Linked DNA regions of Lytechinus pictus. The protein of the gene in region 2 interacts with the protein of the main gene of each other region in a biochemical or structural test. Links are inferred from orthologs where the notes say so. Each region holds a gene or a part of one and is shown on either strand. Other genes may lie near its edges. The genes, in order: nuclear migration protein nudC-like and lissencephaly-1 homolog.

Region 1 (3,931 bases), on a different chromosome or scaffold from region 2:
AACATGTAAAATCTCACCCTAAATAATTCACAACCTAAAATACTTGCATCTGAGCCTCCAAAGTCCAGTAGAAGTTGAATATTTGCCGTTTTTACACTTTTTTTTTACAAAGTTTTACACCTATTTCGGAATCACTCGGTCGCTTGAAGCTCAGCGCTGCACATAAGCAGTCGGTACGCGTACAGTACGTACCACCTAGTGAAGTGCAAGAAGAGTGAGTTTTTCTATGGTATCTTCAAAAAGATTTTTTTCCCCTCTTTCAGCTTGCATCAAGTATTACGGTAGTGGTTGTGCAGAGTGGTTGATGTTTGTTGTATGAAGGTGTGTGTGGGGTGTGCGTGTGTGTGCTTGTTTGAATGAAATAAGAAATGTGAAAAATGTGAATACACGTAGATTTAGCGATGAAATAAGAAATAATAATGTAGAGCCTTGTTTTGATGGTACGGCGTGTGAAAAATTGAAAAATGTAATCTACTAGCATGAAATCAACATAGCATACAATCAACATAGCATACAATTGTAAACTGAAGGAAAGTTCTCTGACCTAGAGTTCAAAACAAGGCTCTACATTATTATTTCTTATTTCATCGCTAAATCTATGTGTATTAATTTCTCGCTCTTCTTGCACTTCACTAGATGGTACGTACTGTACGCGTACCGACTGCTTATGTGCAGCGCTGAGCTTGATGAAGCGACCGAGTGATTCCGAAATAGGTGTAAAACTTTGTAAAAAAGTGTCAAAACGGCAAATATTCAACTTCTACTGGACTTTGGAGGCTCAGATGCAAGTATTTTAGGTTGTGAATTATTTAGGGTGAGATTGTACATGTTTGAAAACCATTAAACGGGGAGGTGCGAAACTACACTAGCGCCGAGACTGTCTCCAATGTGGGAGATTATCTCCAATATCAGAGACTTTTGTAAAGAATTTGGGTATCCAATTTCAGAGAGTCTCCAGTTTTGGAGACCAATTTCCTTTGTTTACATTTGCTGCAAAAGGATTACCTTGGCGGCAAATAAAAATGTGATAAGGAGATTCCTCATAAAAAATTACCCCTTTTCACCGTCTACTTTAAAAATTCACCGTCTACTTTTGTTTTGATAAGGATTTTTGTTGTCAATCACACACAAAACAAATGGGCTTCTGACCTCAGTGAGACAAAATTTTGGGTGGGAAAAATCATGCTTTTGTTGGTGTTGTTTCTTTTGTCCTTTTGCAAAGCAAGTCTCCAATGTGGGAGATTGTCTCCCCTATTGGTAAGAGTCTCCCATATTGGCCGTGCGCCTCTACTGACAGTATGATGGGGTGTCCAAACTTCGCGCACTTTTCAAAAATATTCATCAGGCTTAATTTTGTTCACAAAATATTCATAATTTATACAAAACCAATTCAAGAAATAGTTACCACATTGACGGCAAGATCGTAATCTATAAAATCATGGACGAAAATGTAAAGTAGGTCAAGGGGTTTCGCCGGTATCGCGATCTCAAAATTCTATTCCGATCGGTGAATGCGGGCTGTGCTGGAAACCGTTCAGAAAAAATGTGACTTAACTTCGCGCACCAAAGTTTTTGTGGAGATTCAAACAAAAACTCAAGCTCAAAAAGTGAAATATTTTTATATCAGATTGATGGCAAAATGCTATGGAATTGGTTAGTACCACATTCAACTCACATTTTTGATGATTTCTGCTTGCAAAATGGTGATATCGTGATGCTTGTTGATTTCTTCAAAACGGGCGCAAGCGGTGGCAAATTTGCCGATCTTTTGCCAATATTTTCATGAATACTGAACTCATCCTAAAGAAATTTTTATTAAAGGGTAATTTTAGGTCGCTTTTCACGTTGACGATGTCAGATTTTAAGGATATTGGCTAGTTTTTGAGATAATGACCGTCCGCGAAGTATGGACACGCGCGAAGTTTGGACTCACTGCCATAAATGGTTTCAATCGAATAAGAAACACGATAGCGGTTGTGTGGGACCGAGATAAACTAAAAGAAGCGAAGAAACGCAAAAATGAACGCGTGGGACCGGACCAAGATGAACTGATACTTGCGGACTTGCATAGCAAATTAAATGCAGTATAATCACACAAATCAAAACTTATCATGAATGAAATTATGCCAGTTACGTACCTGATGAATTCCTTGTTCTTGTTGCTGGGCCATTGCCATCAGCATACCGTCAAATCTATCGTCATCCTCAGCCATTTTTCCACATGTGGTTCACCAAAATGAATGAATAAATTTCGGTACTGGTAGTCTTCGTTTTCTAGCATATATATGGGTAATATATGCAATATATGCAGGGCGGAGTCAGAAAATTCTAGAAACATGAGCAAACTACTGGGCCTTGATGGTGGTGGTGGTGGTGGTGGAGGGGGAGGAGGGGGCCGGGCTGACATGGGTGGGTGGCTAGGGGCTTTAATGTTTCAAATATGAATTGTCTTGATTTCCAATGACTTTTTGAATGATTTAGACTCTATTTTTTTTTTTAATTGTTAAAATCTATTCATTTATTTATTTATCTATCTATCTATCTGTCTATCTATTTGTTTATTTATCCATCTATTTCTGAAGGAAGGAGAAGGGTTAGATGCCGGGGTTAGATGGGGGTAAGGAAGTAAATAGATCGATCGAGAGCTATATAGAGCGGAAGGAAGAAGGCACATGCACACACCGAAGTATGCCATGGGAAGTATGATCCTCACTCGCGCCCTTTTTTATGGGGGGCCGGGGGGGGGGGGGTAGTTCATACCCCATGTTTCAAGGAAAATGTGTGAGTTGCTGAATGACGGCCTCTATTCATTTCTATTCTTCTGATAGGTCCATGATTATACTAATGATGGTGATGATCATTGAATGATGATGACGACAATATGATGATGATGATGGTGATGATGGTGATCATGATGATCATGATGATGACGACGACGACGACCGCGATGATGATCATATGGTGAGGATGATTATTCTATTCTATTCAATTACAATTTTTTTTAGTCTACGATATATCCTTTCCTCCAGTAACATAATATTGCAAACATTGACATTAAAGCTAAATGAACGTAGTTGCAGTAGTAAAACACTAATTTCGTGAGAAAGTCTGTAAAACCAAAGTTAAGTATGACTATATCATCGTGGATCTAGATCTGGTACAGTTACATAAACTGAACTTTGTGAAATCATGAAATCTAAGCTGAAATACGATCACACTGAAGATCGCCAACACAGATAGGCACATGTGGGACAGTGTATTATTATTGCTGGAATAAAGACCCGACGGAAGTGACCGAATCCGCGCTTATTTTGCTTATTTCTCAGCAATTACACAATTTCTCCCAGAATCCTTTGGCACATATTTTTTATTCATATACAAACAGACACTTGGGTGGTCATTATATTAGATTCTGTAAAAAGTCATTTTGAGATCGTTATTACCAGAACTGGAATTTACCTTTAAATTAAACATTATAGAAAATTGAACTTGTAGACAAGACAAATAAGAGGGGATAATTATACATGAATAAAGAAGAAGGGAGGATGATTCCGATGAACGGTATATCCATAAGAAAGAAAAAAAAACATTCATCCAAACATTTCGGCCTTGTTATAACTAGATATTAATTTACATTATTTATGTCAACTACATTGTTCAAATGTGTTGTTCTCTAAACTATCAATATATAGGCCCTATAGCCTATCGTATATTCGATCATATTCTTTGACTGAGTTGGGAACTCACTGAATCATTAACCGAAGCTATATTCGTTTTGAACAACGTTCGATTTTTTTTAATCGCGCGATCCGGCGCGCGATGCAACAGGTGAAGCTCAAACTTTGGTCTCACAGGATAATTCAACACAAAAAGCTTCAATTTTCACACATATTTACAGAAAATACAGAGGCATTTTTTTTTTGGGGGGGGG
Region 2 (3,931 bases):
GTTGCAAACTTGGAATGGCCTGAAATGCACTACTGTTGTGTAACAGTGTATGTATTCAAAACCGCTGAAGCGAGACCAATGACATTTTCAAGAAGTTAGATTATGAAATAAGCTTTCTACTCATGTACCTTTGATTAAAAATACTACATTTTGGAATTACTTCAGCCCTATGTCAGAGGGACATTTTTTGGGGGGACGTGCTGTACTTAAATCTGTGATCATGCTACAAGGGACAGTGATTTTTTGAAAATTGCCTTTTGAAACGGAAAGTGGCTTTTCAAATTGAAAATCACAGAAAACATATCTTTACTCAAAATGCATAGAACAGCAACAGAAATTACTCCAAAATCTCAACAAAATACAAATACTAACTGGCCACAAAACACGATCTCACTTCGCTACAATCATGACAATCCACACATCGTGACTGCACTTGACTCCATCACTTGATCATACATCAAAAATACATTGTACAAGCGGGTCAAACGCAAGCCCAAGCTGAAATAAGCGACCAAACATTGTTTGATTATAACCAACGTACGTAGTAGGCAGCAACACACGTTCGTGTTGCTACCCTCTAGTTCGGTGATGTAACAGCACGAACGTGGTACTCCTCAAATACAAAATGGCAGATAGGCAATAGTCGTCGACTGCTCAAAACGATGTCCAAAAATCCCCACATTATCAATAAAATTTCATTCAACCCTTAAATAATGCTAATAATGTGAAAGGTTAGGATGTATTCATATTAAATGTGTTTCTTAAAATTGTTTTGTGTTTGTATAGATCAGATTAGAGTGGATTCCAAAGCGTTGTTAGTGGCGGATACAAATTCTGACCAGCCCGAGTACTGTGACATTGCTACTCCAACGGAATTTCCATTTTTCAAACATGCTGAAACGGATTTTAAGATTTTCTGAAAAGGAAAAGGCAATTTTTTTACACAGAAATCACTTTCCCTAGATGCTACTTATTATTTATAATCACGTATTAAATTTTAGTATTTGTGAAATAATAATTTTTATCTATAAATTGTTCTTCAAGACGGCATCGCTAGTCGGAAGTACGTCATCACGAAGCGGTTCAAGGGTCAAGTCTATTGTCTTTGCTTTGTTGACAAACGGATCGAGGGATCCACGGGAGATCGGGTCTGGTAAGAAACATCTCATTTTTACCATTTATAGTGAAATAATTTTTATCCCTTTATACGCATTAGGCGCCTGAAGGTTCATAAATAAAATTGGACAATACAAACCGATTTCACCCTCTAACTATGGATTTCCTTGGGAAATCCATCTTTGTGTACATGTGTCTCTTATATGGATGGGGATTCAAGACTCCATGATGAATATGTCAAAATATTTAAAAAAAACATCATCATGGAGTCCTCAAGACTAGACTAGATCTAGCTAGCAGGCCTGGCCCATTTAGTCATTGGACCTTAACCCTTCTGTACTGTAAACGCTCTTATTTTCGCGAATTAATTTTTCACGCTTGGCGGCTTCAAAAAATATTCGCAAGTTCTTGAATTTGCGCTGCACTCTCCATAATCCAAAGTCACTTCCTTCTTCCCCATCTGTAAATGGTTTTAATTAACATTTCAGCGACGAAATTGTATATTCTGATCATAATTCTAGCTCTAAAGCGGCGTAATTCAGCATTGTTTTGATCCAATCATGAGCTTTTGTGACATTTAGCGCAACATTTCTTTGCAGGGTGGACTCGGGGAAGGCAAAACGGAGGCACTGCTGGCCTGGTATGGACGGCCGAGCACCTATAATATAAAGGACCAGGGGGATTACGGCTATTCAAAGTGCATGGGTTCAATCAACAAACCTGGGTGATCGACCCAACGTCTTCTTAAAAACTAAACAGATCTTAACACTCACCAATCTCGCACAGCAAAAGCAATTTATATTTCAACCAAATTCCAAAATCATAATTTAAATACTGATCTGCGACTATTGAAAAAATTATCTCAATGCTTTGGAACAAATTCTCGCAATGGCGTGCATGTCTTTTTATTTGTGATCGATTTTGGAGCTCAAGCTTACTTGCTTAAATGTCGCCCTCTATACAAGATCTAACAAGTTATAGGGCCTAGGTCAAAATCAAATTGTGCAATCTCTTTGCCAAAACGATACACACAATTGAACCGCGGTTCAAAACTTGCATTAAAATAGATTAGATGCTCATAAATTCGTGCTCGCCGATCTTCATCTTGCCGCAAAAATTTCCACTTTTAGTTTTACAGTAGTTGTAAAGAACTGCAGAAGCTACCACTTCCATGACTGCACTGCTACTGGGCCTGGCTTGCAATGTTGCGCTCCCTTCTAACTCTGTCTCTGCACTCACTCACGTCACTCTCACTCAACTCAGCTCATGCACTGCACTGCATGCATTGGCCAGAATATGCACAACAAATGTCAACGCCTACGGAATGGGAATGCACATTTGCCCAGCACTAACGTTACACCTTCTCCTTCACACATATCCTAGCACACAACCAAATTGCGAACTATTTAGATGTAGAATCGAATTCTATAGATTTCCAATGAAAATAGAACGCTCACCGAAAAATAAAGAACTTAACAACCAAACATCAAGTATATAAACCGGTATTCGTCCGTTGGTTCGAAGTATTTTTCTCGCAACGCATATTGTTGCTGTATTTCCGACTCACATATATTTGCTACACGTTGAAAAATTACCCAGAATCCCTTTCGATACTTGTCTGCAATATCATGCGCAGAAAACTTGTGCGCAGTTTCTAAGTCTCTTCGTCGTCTGCAGCAGCAACTACTCGGAAATCAACAGTAATTTGGGCTGTTTCTTATTGCATTTTTATTGATCTATAGAATGATATTGTATTAATACCATTATTTTTCAGTATTACTTAAGCTGTCTCATTATTCAAAGCACTATCAGGTATCGTCTAAACGTGTATATTACCGATAATTTGCGTGTTCTTGTATTTTGAAGTGACCGGTTATTACTGCTAAATTTGAGGACGTTTATTTACCTTGGACATGAATGCCGATTTTTAGCCAGCCACGGGCACGGCGGCGCGGCCGCGGTATTGATAAGATATGCATGTGCACCCGCTATGGCCTTAGACCAAAAGCTTCGGTCTCTGTTATGTTGGTTGTTCAGCTGAACTCCGTTGGCTTCACTAAAAAGCTTCGGTCTCTGTTATGTTGGTTGTTCAGCTGAACTCCGTTGGCTTCACTACCCAGGGGGGCCACTTCCATTCACGAGTGGATACCATGCGCGACCATGGGGTCTCAAAAAGCACCCTAAACACGTAATTTCCATAATCTGAAAATGCACCCCTTAACAAGTATTGGCGTGTGAAACCCTACCCTTAACAAGTATTGGAAACAAAACGAGATCATGGCAAATATTCCCTGAAATGAACCCCTAAACAAGTACAGGAATGTTTTATTGTTACGGGTCCTTCGGTCGTCAGCTTTACCTCATTTGGTTTAGTACGACCCCACCTTCTACACCTCGCGCAAATCGGACTCTAAACACGAAGTGTTGGGGCCAAAAGGACATCCTTTATAAAACATTTTAATTTTGTTTTATCATCCCCGCAAATTCGACCCTAAACACGTAATTGTCCTAGCGAAATAGATACCCTTTTTTCATTATTATTGCGTTTTTGACACCCTTATCACGTTACGTACGTAACGTGCCCTATCGTGAAAAAGACATCCTTTTTACGTGTTTTTTTGGTCGCGCATGGTATCCACTCGTCAATGTAAGTGGCCCCCCCGGGCTTCACTAACCAAATACAGAGACCGAAGTTCTAGCGCGATCTGTACAGGGGACTCAATGGCCATATGTTTATGTACTTAAGATCGGATAAAACGGGGAAGTGAATTTGCGCGACAGCCGAGGTAAGTCACTGTTTTTGTTCCTTTTAACT

Evidence for each region.
Region 1: the proteins of lissencephaly-1 homolog (region 2) and nuclear migration protein nudC-like form a complex in vitro, tested with the Homo sapiens proteins (3 studies listed by BioGRID). The link is inferred for Lytechinus pictus from reciprocal best matches to the Homo sapiens genes PAFAH1B1 and NUDC.

Annotation. Positions count from the first base shown.
Region 1 is NC_087248.1:5,421,694-5,425,624, forward strand, and holds the start of nuclear migration protein nudC-like, read right to left. Parts: upstream 2,705-3,931; 5' UTR 2,214-2,704; coding exon 2,139-2,213; intron 1-2,138. UniProt on the Homo sapiens protein: Plays a role in neurogenesis and neuronal migration. Necessary for correct formation of mitotic spindles and chromosome separation during mitosis. Necessary for cytokinesis and cell proliferation.
Region 2 is NC_087246.1:17,019,545-17,023,475, forward strand, and holds the start of lissencephaly-1 homolog, read right to left. Parts: upstream 2,719-3,931; 5' UTR 2,574-2,718; exon of another isoform or gene 2,071-2,573; intron 1-2,070. Other genes in the region: RNA N6-adenosine-methyltransferase mettl16-like, read left to right, coding at 2,860-2,867. UniProt on the Homo sapiens protein: Regulatory subunit (beta subunit) of the cytosolic type I platelet-activating factor (PAF) acetylhydrolase (PAF-AH (I)), an enzyme that catalyzes the hydrolyze of the acetyl group at the sn-2 position of PAF and its analogs and participates in PAF inactivation.